Linked DNA regions of Oryctolagus cuniculus. The protein of the gene in region 1 purifies or fractionates together with the protein of each later gene. This does not show direct contact. Links are inferred from orthologs where the notes say so. Each region holds a gene or a part of one and is shown in the gene's direction. Other genes may lie near its edges.

Evidence for each region. The genes of interacting proteins can lie anywhere in the genome.
Region 2: the proteins of RPP21 (region 1) and RPP30 purify together in Homo sapiens (co-immunoprecipitation; 3 studies listed by BioGRID and IntAct, counting the BioPlex papers as one, with this or other methods). This does not show direct contact. The link is inferred for Oryctolagus cuniculus from reciprocal best matches to the Homo sapiens genes RPP21 and RPP30.
Region 3: the proteins of RPP21 (region 1) and RPP40 purify together in Homo sapiens (co-immunoprecipitation; 3 studies listed by BioGRID and IntAct, counting the BioPlex papers as one, with this or other methods). This does not show direct contact. The link is inferred for Oryctolagus cuniculus from reciprocal best matches to the Homo sapiens genes RPP21 and RPP40.

The regions. Positions count from the first base shown.
Region 1 is NC_091436.1:139,948,111-139,952,313, reverse strand, and holds the start of RPP21 (ribonuclease P protein subunit p21), read left to right. Parts: upstream 1-1,386; 5' UTR 1,387-1,463; coding exon 1,464-1,520; intron 1,521-1,599; coding exon 1,600-1,700; intron 1,701-1,780; coding exon 1,781-1,863; intron 1,864-3,848; coding exon 3,849-3,974; intron 3,975-4,114; coding exon 4,115-4,203. UniProt on the Homo sapiens protein: Component of ribonuclease P, a ribonucleoprotein complex that generates mature tRNA molecules by cleaving their 5'-ends.
Region 2 is NC_091446.1:39,509,020-39,511,260, reverse strand, and holds the end of RPP30 (ribonuclease P protein subunit p30), read left to right. Parts: intron 1-1,521; coding exon 1,522-1,631; 3' UTR 1,632-1,717; downstream 1,718-2,241. UniProt on the Homo sapiens protein: Component of ribonuclease P, a ribonucleoprotein complex that generates mature tRNA molecules by cleaving their 5'-ends. Also a component of the MRP ribonuclease complex, which cleaves pre-rRNA sequences.
Region 3 is NC_091436.1:165,377,039-165,380,573, forward strand, and holds part of RPP40 (ribonuclease P protein subunit p40), read left to right. Parts: intron 1-131; coding exon 132-257; intron 258-3,535. UniProt on the Homo sapiens protein: Component of ribonuclease P, a ribonucleoprotein complex that generates mature tRNA molecules by cleaving their 5'-ends. Also a component of the MRP ribonuclease complex, which cleaves pre-rRNA sequences.

The DNA.
Region 1 (4,203 bases):
TAAATGGAGTCTTTCTCACCCTGAGGACAGGTGAGAAGCGGGCGGTGTGTGTAAGAAAAGGCCAGATAGCAACTTCCTTGGGCCTGTGTGCGTCTGGCCTGGTATTGCTGTTCACACAAGGCAGGCTTTGGCTTGTCTGTTGCCATCGTTCACCCTTTGCCATTCCCCTTTTCAGAGAATGTAAATCATCTTAATGTTAGGCCAAAACAAACAACCAGTAGGGTACATAAGTGATCCAAATAAAGAAACAAAAAAAACAAGGAAAGCAATGCATGCCAAACCAAAACACAACGTCTTGGATTATCTGCTGCTTGGGTCAATCTCCACAGAAGACCAGGACAAGAAACTGCAGTTTATCGAGGGCATTTCAGTTCTACCACCTCAGCAGGACTGTGTCCACTCTCCTCCTCTTACCTTTGTGCCTTGACTGTGGTTCTTTGTGGCAGGATAACTCTGGTTGGTAAAAATTATATGGAACAAAGGATCCACTGAAGTGACCTCTGTGTTGTGTGGTAATTTGGCAATGGCTTTGTGTTGATGGGTGTTCAAAACGCATGCTCCTGGGCCTCCCCCTCTCTTTGTTCGGTCAGGGCCTGTGCGGGCCTAGGCATCGGCATTAAACTCACCTGAGTCTGAGGACCCCTGCAAGACATCCCAAGTGTCAGCCACTTTCCTTCCCCTGAGCAGGAGGCCTGGTCCTCTGTCGCCTGGTGGCAGGGGCCCCTAAAGGAGAGAGGCGGCTCACCCTCTCCTGACCTGTGCTAGCCGCTCATGCACATCCTGCCCACCTCATGTTTGCGTTGTGCAGCTGGCGGCCACCGAGAATCAGGTGAAGAATCAGGTGAACGGGATGGCAGACAGAAGAAACTGGAGGGAGAGAAAGGTCAGGGTGTGGGCTGGGGTGGGGCTGCTGCTGACAGGTTTCCGCGCTATACGCCAGGGGTTGGAAACTGTTGGCACAAGTGGGGCTCACCTGGTGTGTTAACAGCACCGTGTAACAAGCACAGTGTGTTTCCCGGGTGGGTGGAAAAGAGAGTAAGTTGTGTTTTCGCGATCCTCACCCTCTTCACAAAGCTCGTGGGCCCCTATGGCTGTGTGGACATGTAGCCTCTGTCCCACCAGATCTAGGTGTCTGCCTTCGGCTTAGGAGACTGGTGCGCAGGTCTAGCTGGGTATACCCGGCTGTCTGTCTTAGACACCGGTCCTCTCTCGTGAAAATGTGTAGCACTTTTTAAGATCCTCTCCCACTCCGATAGCCGAACCGTGGGCTTGCGGAAGTCTGGAAGGACTCCCAAACTCCAGAACGGACTCAAGGGTTGGAAGGCAGGGCTTGGGCTTGCCCACTCAGGGTGCTGGGGCGGCCAGCCGGGGCGCGGGCCCCGTGGGACTACACTTCCCAGCAGGCCTCGCGCGGCGCCGTGGGCGGGGCTGGAGGCGGTCCTACGAGGGCCGGCACTGCGCCCATGGCGGGCCCGGTCAAGGACCGCGAGGCCTTCCTGAGGCTCAACTTCCTCTACCAGGTGAGTCCCGGCCAGGGCGTGCGGAGGGACGCGGACCTCGTGCGTTCGGCGCCGAGGTGACCCCGCCCCGGCCGCCCAGGCCGCCCACTGCGTCCTTGCGCAGGACCCCGAGAACCAGGCGCTGGCCAGATTCTACTGCCACACTGAGCGGACCATCGCCAAGCGGCTCGTCCTGCGTCGGTGAGACGGGCGCGCAGCTGGCGGCGGGGGGACGCGGGCCGTGGAGCGGGCGGCCGGACCACCTTTGCCTCTGCCCCCAGGGACCCCTCGGTGAAGAGGACCCTCTGCCGTGGCTGCTCTTCCCCGCTCATCCCGGGCCTCACCTGCACCCAGCGCCAGAGACGTGAGTGGTCCTGCAGGATTGTGGGCTTGGGGGCGGGGGTGGGGGTGGGGTGGGGGCGCCTCTAGGCGGGGGTCGGGCTGAGGAGCAGTCTCCAGCTCTGAGTTAAGTTGCCGACTGCACTAGAACAAACTAGGGTTTGGAGTTCGTTTTTAGGCCCCACCTGTGCGGCAGACACATGATGTTGCCGTAAGAGGCAGCCCCACCTGTGCATAATAACGGGTGGCATTGGGTGTCGCGTAGGACACCGTTCCACTGCCACAACCCAGGAAGTTGTCTCTGAAATTACAGCCTGATGGATTAAAGATCCTAGCAGTTAGGGCAGTGTAGAAAATGCCAGTGATGGAGAGGCTCAACAAAGGGAGCGAGATGGGCGCTCTAGGCACGGGGGAGGATTCCATGATGAGGGAGTTGGTGGTGCTGTAGAAGTACAGGAAGCTGGAGCTTGAGGTAGCAGGACAAGACAGGGCTGAAGAGGGAAACAGGCCAGGGCAAGACTCTTGTTAGAAGTTTACAGTGTGGTGGTCCACACTGTGGCATAGCAGGTAAAGCCCCGGCCTGTGCCGCTAGCATACGCCAGCATCCATATGGACCCAGGGGAGTCCCCGGTGCTCCACTTCCTCTCCGGCTCCCTGCTGATGTGCCTGAGAAAGCAGTGGAGGATGGCCCAGGTGCTTGGGCCCCTGCACCCACGTGGGAGACTCCGAGGACTGTTGGGGAGTGAACCAGCAGATAGAAAATAGATAGAAAATATATCTCTCTCCCTTTCTCTCTCTCTAACTGCTTTTCAAATAAAAAAAAAAATTTAAGATTTATTTATTTATTTGAGAGGCATAGTTACAGAGAGGCTGAGGCAGAGAGAGAAAGAGAGAGTGAGGTCTTCCATCTGCTGGTTCACTCTCCAAATGGCTGGAACTGCGCTGATCCAAAGCCAGGAGCTTCTTCCGGGTCTCCCACACAGGTGTAGGGGCCTAAGGCCTTGGGCCATCTTCTACTGCTTTCCCAGGGCATAGCAGAGAGCTGGATCGGAAATGGCACAGCTGGGGCTCCAACTGGTGCCCATATGGGATGCCAGCACTGCAAGTGGCAGCTTTACCTGCTATGCCATAGCACCAGCCCCTCAAATACAATTTTTAATTCTTTTTTTTTTTTTTAATTTGGACTTTAAAGATTTCTAAGAAATGGATAAAGCTGTGCTGGGGCCTCACACCATCATATTTGCATATAAAGTGGAGGTAGGGGTGGAATTCCTCCTAAAAATAGTAAAGGCAAGGCTGGTCTTGTGGCATACAAGGTTAAGCCTCCACCTGCTATGCCAGCATCCTGTATGGGCACTGGTTCGAGACCCAGCTGCTCCACTTCCAATCTAGGTCCTTGCTAATGTCCCTGGGAAAGCAGCAGAAGTACAAGCACGTGGGCCCTGTACATGGGCACCCACGTGGGAGACTTGAAAGAAGCTCTGGGCTCATGGCTTACGTCTGGCCCTTGGGGCCAGTGTCCAGGGAGTGAAGCAGCAGGTAGAAGACCTCTGTCTCTCCTCTCTCTGTAACTCTGCCTTTCGGATAAATTTTTTTATTTATTTTTTAATTTGACAGAGTTATAGACAGTTAGAGAGAGAAACAGAGAGAAAGGTCTTCCTTCCATTGGTTCACTCCCCAAATGGCCGCTACGGCCAGCGTTGCGCCAATCCAAAGCCAGGTGCTTCTTCCTGGTCTCCCATGTAGGTTCAAGGATCTAAGCACCTGGGCTATCCTCCACTGCCCTCCCAGGCCACAGCAGAGAGCTGGACTGGACGAGGAGCAACCGGGACTAGAACCCAGCGCCCATATGGGATGCTAGTGCCATAGGCAGAGGATTAACCAAGTGAGCCATGGTGCCGCCCCTCAAATAAATTTAAAATAATAATAATAATGGAGGCAAAACTGGTTGCAAGAGACCTTTTCTTCTGCTAAATTTAGCACTCTTCCTTTCTCTCACTTTCATTCCAGGCTGCAAGGGACAGCGCTGGACAGTCCAGACCTGTCTAACATGTCAGCGCAGCCAACGGTTCCTCAATGATCCCAGGCATCTGCTCTGGGGAGACCGGCCTGAGGCCCAGCTGGGGAGTCAGGCAGGTGAGAGGCGGTAAAGAAAAATGGGGACACCCATTTAGGGGTGGGGGTGGGGCTTGGAGAGTTGAAGAAGAGACATGGATGGGTTCTGGTGGGTGTCAAGAGCCACAGTCTCAGAAAACCAATTCTGCTCATCTACCCAGATCCCAAACCGCCACAGCCTGGGCCAAACACAGCCCACTCCGACCCAGCCCACCTGCCTAAGGAGAAGGTGCAGGCCCAGAGCTCCAGT
Region 2 (2,241 bases), on another chromosome or scaffold:
TTCTCACCCTCACTTCTTTACTTTCTGTAGCTTACGAAATGAATATAGATTATATTAAAGAAATAAATATTAAACATATTCTCTCAAGCTATATGTGTGTGTTCCCCTGCCCACATTTTGACAGGCTTCCTGTCTCTTTTCTCCTTTCTCTTCTCCAGAAGTCATGCCTTCCCTGTTGAAAGTCACTGTTTTAGGACACCAATATGTTAAAAATATATGTTGTCATTTATTAGGAAAACAGGAAAAGCAATTGTGTTTTTCAAAATCTGGTGAACAAAACTAAGACTAACTTTTGCATTTATTACAACTCAGGATGTTTCTTATTTTTCTTTACATGATCAAATATGTACAGACTGTACGTTTTTAGGAGTTATTTATTTATTTACTTGAGGGGCAGAGACATAGAGACAGATAGAGGTACCTCCCACGCATTGGTTCACTTTTCAAATGCCCGCAGTGGCCAGGGTTGGACCTGAGCCATTGCCTGGAGCTGGGAACACAAACCAGGTCTCCCATGTAGATGGCAGGAACCTAATTACTTGAGCCAACACTGCTGCCTCCCAGGAGCTGTATTAGCAATATGGGACATAGACGTCCTATCCAGTAGGTTAAACTCCCACCCCAGTGCTGCTTGTCACGGGGCAGCAGGTCCGATAGAGCTCCTCAGGGCCAGCCTGGGGAGCTCAGAGGCCAAGCGGGATGATGAGGAAGGAACCACACCAGAGCTGGGAGATCAGTCAAGGCCCAGGGGAGGGGAAGAGCTTTTATAGACACAGAAAAGGGGCTGTCCAGGCCACAAGGGAACCAGCTGAAAGGTAAGGCAGGGCACGCCCTCAAGGGCCTATCACAGCCAAGGACACACACTGTTCACGACTACAGAAGTCTCCTGTCAGGCTAGGTACCTCCCCCGGGGTCCATCTTGGGTTGTTGGAAACGCTGAGTCACTGGGATGCGGAAGTGTGGCAAACTCAGCGGCCTTTTAACAACTTTTTTTCCTTTTCAACTGGAGCTCCCCCTACACCTCAGGCTGTATATCTTTTTTATCTATGTTTTACTTACGTATCTGTACCTCTTCACCTGAATTCCACTACTAGAATCCACTAGAATTTTATGATAAAAATTAAACTAAAAGTATGTGGTATGCCAAAACTTTGGAAAAATGAAGTTTCAGTAGAGCTTAAACCCAGATGAATTGTAAGTGTCACAATAGGTTGCTGCAGGGGCTGATGCTGTGACCTGCACAGCTGCTTGCAATGCCAGTATCCCATATGACAGTGCTGGTTCGAGTTCTGGTTGTCCCACTTCCATTAGGAGTGAATTACAGGGTACTAATATGTGTGCTATCTGTGTATATCAAGAAAAACTATATTGACAGTGAGTGGTGTTGGCATTGGCACCCATAGCAGTTCACTTTGGTTTTATCACTTACTAGAGTGTAAGCCAGTATGATGTTTGTTAAACCATGTCTTTATAAATTATATCCTAATTTCAGGCACTATGGTTTCCTTGTTTGTTTTACAGAAACCAGAAAAACTGCTTTTGGAATTATCTCCACCGTGAAGAAACCTCGGCCATCAGAAGGAGATGATGATTCTCTCCCAGCTTGCAAGAAAGCGAAGTGTGAGGGCTGAAAACACACTCCAGCCTCCACAGCCTCCCTTGTGTCATTCATCAGCCACAACAAAAATAAAACCTGGATTGTCGTTTGCAATTCTCATTTGAAGCTAGAAATCAAGTCTCTAAAAAATTTTACATTCAGTCATTTAACAATAAGCAGAACCTAGTGCAGCCTTTTTAAAGGCTGCCGGCTTAATGAATTTAGAAACATTTTAAGAGGAAGACAGACTGCTTTATTCGTCCTTTGTGTATGTGGTAAATAACAGCAGTAGACTTGCATAAGATGTTTCAGTATTTCAGGACACTTTCAAAATGTCTCCTGTTCATTTAAAAACTCATGCCTTCCTACTTGTTATATACAGTGGCTTATTTTTTAATCTTACCACTCAAGAAGTAATTTTGAGGACTATTAAACCTTACATTAAGAGGGTTACTTAATTGATCTATTCATGTTTTAAGCTTTTCTGTCAGTGTATTTATCAAGTTAGAGTTCTTTCTAAAAGGAATTGCCATAGAATTTATGGAAGGAGAGAAGATACACATGTAAAATTAGACTTGGCCTCTTCCTTCACTGCTTACTTCGTGATATCTTTGAAATAAGATTACTTTTGGTTGGAACCCCTG
Region 3 (3,535 bases), about 25 Mb from region 1:
CAAAATAATTTTCACTATCTGTGATATTTTTAAAATTTCTGATTTACAGAATACAACACTTGTCTGCAGTGCAGGCTGTATGTGATGTATATGTATGCATAAAATGTGTATTCCTTCTTGCATTTTTAAAGTCGTTTCCGTTGATTTGATGGAGTTATCCTTTAACCTGAATTCTAAGAAGTATAAGAGAACATCTTGGTCCTTCAAAGAAAAGAAGCCCCTGAAGTTCAATTTTCTTTTCGCTTGGCACAATACAGGTATGAAGAATAAATAACACGACAGTGCGGTGAGTTTGAAGTCTAATTGTTAGGTACAGAGGAATAATGGGAGTGAATGGTGGTTCATCCCTGTGGTCAGGGTTCTGTCATATACATGTGTGTAACTATCCCTGTGGTCAGGGTTCTGTCATACATGTGTGTAACCATCCCTGTGGTCAGGGTTCTGTCATACATGTGTGTAACCATCCCTGTGGTCAGGGTTCTGTCATATACATGTGTGTAACCATCCCTGCGGTCAGGGTTCTGTCATACATGTGTGTAACCATCCCTGTGGTCAGGGTTCTGTCATATACATGTGTGTAACCATCCCTGTGGTCAGGGTTCTGTCATACATGTGTGTAACCATCCCTGTGGTCAGGGTTCTGTCATACATGTGTGTAACCATCCCTGTGGTCAGGGTTCTGTCATATACATGTGTGTAACCATCCCTGCGGTCAGGGTTCTGTCATATACATGTGTGTAACCATCCCTGTGGTCAGGGTTCTGTCATACATGTGTGTAACCATCCCTGTGGTCAAGGTTCTGTCATATACATGTGTGTAACCATCCCTGTGGTCAAGGTTCTGTCATACATGTGTGTAATAGTCTTGGTTGTTATATATATATAATATATATATTTGACAGCAGAGTTAGACAGTGAGAGAGAGAGAGAGAAAGGTCTTCCTTCTGTTGGTTCACTCCCCAAATGGCCACCACGGCCAGCACGTTGCGCCGATCCGAAGCCAGGAGCCAAGTGCTTCCTCCTGGTCTCCCATGGGGTGCAGGGCCCAAGCACTCGGGCCATCCTCCACTGTCTTCCCGGGCCACAGCAGAGAGCTGGACTGGAAGAGGAGCAACTGGGACTAGAACCCGGTGCCCACATGGGGTGCTGGTGCCGCAGGCAGACGATTAACCTAGTGAGCCATGGCGCCGGCCCCCATTGGCTATTATATTTTAAATTAATATCAATTATGGATGCATCTGTGGCCTACTTACGCATTGTGAGGAAATAACTCACACATGTCATTAAATACTTGTAACTTTTAATTGATTATAACACTACATTTGGCCGGCGCCGCGTCTCACTAGGCTAATCCTCCGCCTAGCGGCGCCAGCACACCAGGTTCTAGTCCCGGTCGGGGCGCCGGATTCTGTCCCGGTTGCCCCTCTTCCAGGCCAGCCCTCTGCTGTGGCCAGGGAGTGCAGTGGAGGATGGCCCAAGTGCTTGGGCCCTGCACCCCATGGGAGACCAGGAGAAGCACCTGGCTCCTGCCATCGGATCAGCACGGTGCGCCGGCCACAGCACGCCGGCCGCAGCGGCCATTGGAGGGTGAACCAACGGCAAAAGGAAGACCTTTCTCTCTGTCTCTCTCTCTCACTGTCCACTCTGCCTGTCAAAGAAAAAAAAAAAAACCACTACATTTAGTTCAGATTGCCATGTTTTTGAACATGTTAATCTGCTTTGACTGTCGAGTGGATTGCCCCTTTCAGAAGTGAATCTTCTGTGCTTCCCAAGCTTACGCTAATCAGATCGGTGGGCATCGCGATGGTGAGGTGCTGGGGAAGCGCAGGGCTCTGCCCCTGAAGGCGAGTCTCTGGTCGCTGCCTGCCCTCGCCGCCTTCAGGAGCCCTGTTTCTGTAGGACCTCGCGCATACTTGCGCGTGTGGTAGGAAAGGAGCAGAGAGAGTTCCTGAAGTGTCAATTGCTTGAATCCTGTGAAGCCACCACACTTGGCTGTGAATAGCTCCTGTTCCTAAGACTCTTGAGTCCTTCAAGGATTTGTTAGGGACTCTGAAAGGTCTGGGATTTCACTTCACTTGCAGGCTTACCAGGTGGCCTCCCGGAGTCTTGGGGTTGCTGGAGTAAGATATGATATTGTTGGGTCAGAGACAGTGGACTTAATTCCTCAAAGCAGTAGCAGTGGGCAGCGTCTATTCGTCAGGATTCTCCAGAGACAGAACCAAAAGGTGGATGCATGGGCGGATAGAAGAGTGGATAGATGATGGGTGGGTGGACGGATGAATAGGTGGATGGGTGCACGGGTGGGTGGTTGGATAGTAAATGTATGGGTGCATTTACTACGGCTGATGTGAGTATGGAGGTTGAGAAGTCCTCTGTAGTTGTCTGTAAGCTGGGGACCTAAGGATGCTAGTGGTATGGCTCAGTCCCCGTCAGAGTTTCGGAACTGGGGAGCCAGCGTTGCAGCTGCTGGGGTTCCAGAGGCTTGGGTCTTGGAGTTTTGCTGTTTAGCAGCAGGAGAAAAGGATGTCCCCGCTTGAGAGAGAGGACAGATTTGCCTTCCTTCTGTCCTGTGCTCTCTGGGCCTTTGGTGGACAAGATGGTGCCCACCCATGTTGAGGGCAGATCTTCTCCACTTGGCTTGGCAACTCATATGCCAGCCTCCTCCAGAAATGTCCTCGCAGATAGACCGGAGGTCGGCTTTACCACAGCTGCGGTACCCTCGGAGCAGGCCAGTTGACACCAGGTGTCAGCATTAGCACCGGTTACCAAGTCCCAGTTCCCATGGCGTGACCCGGAGTTGGGCAGGTAGTGCTGGCATTTGCCATAGGTTCTATCATGGGAGAACCCAGAACTTCAAGAATTCACATTTTTTTTTTAAAGTATTTTATTTAAAAGGGAGAATGACAGAGAAGGTGAGACATAGAGAGATCTTCCATCCACTGGTGCACTCCCCAAATGGCTGCAATGGCCAGGATCCTGGAACTCCATCCGGTCTCCCACGTGGGTGCAGGGGCCCAAGCACCTGGTCCATCTTCCTCTCCTTTCCCTGGGGCATTAACATGGATCTGGATCAGAAGCAGAGCAGCCAGGACTTGAACCAGCACCCTGATGGGATGGCAGCCTCACAGGCAGCGGCTTAACCTGCTGCACCACAGTGGCAGCCCCTGGAATTCCCTCTGCACTGTGCAGGCAGCCGGATGAGCTCTGGACAGTGAGCAGGCCTGCCCCGTGCTCCACCAGGGGTCCGTCTTTCTCTCTTCCGAGGTCGTTGGCTCTGCAGACACTCCTGAAAGACACCCTAGATTTTACTGGGTTTTCCAGGGCAAGCTCAAATGAGACTTTATCATCATTAGTTCTGCTTCTGTTTCCTACGTAGAGACTGTACAGCTGTGTTCCGTTCTCTGTAGAGCTCACCAGTGTTAGTCATCCATAAAGAATGTATCAGCTGAAGTTTCCTTGTGAGGGCAAACAGTGGAACTCGTGTGGGTCTGGTCGGAAAGTGTACTTTTCCAGGAAAACGTGAACGGAGACGAGT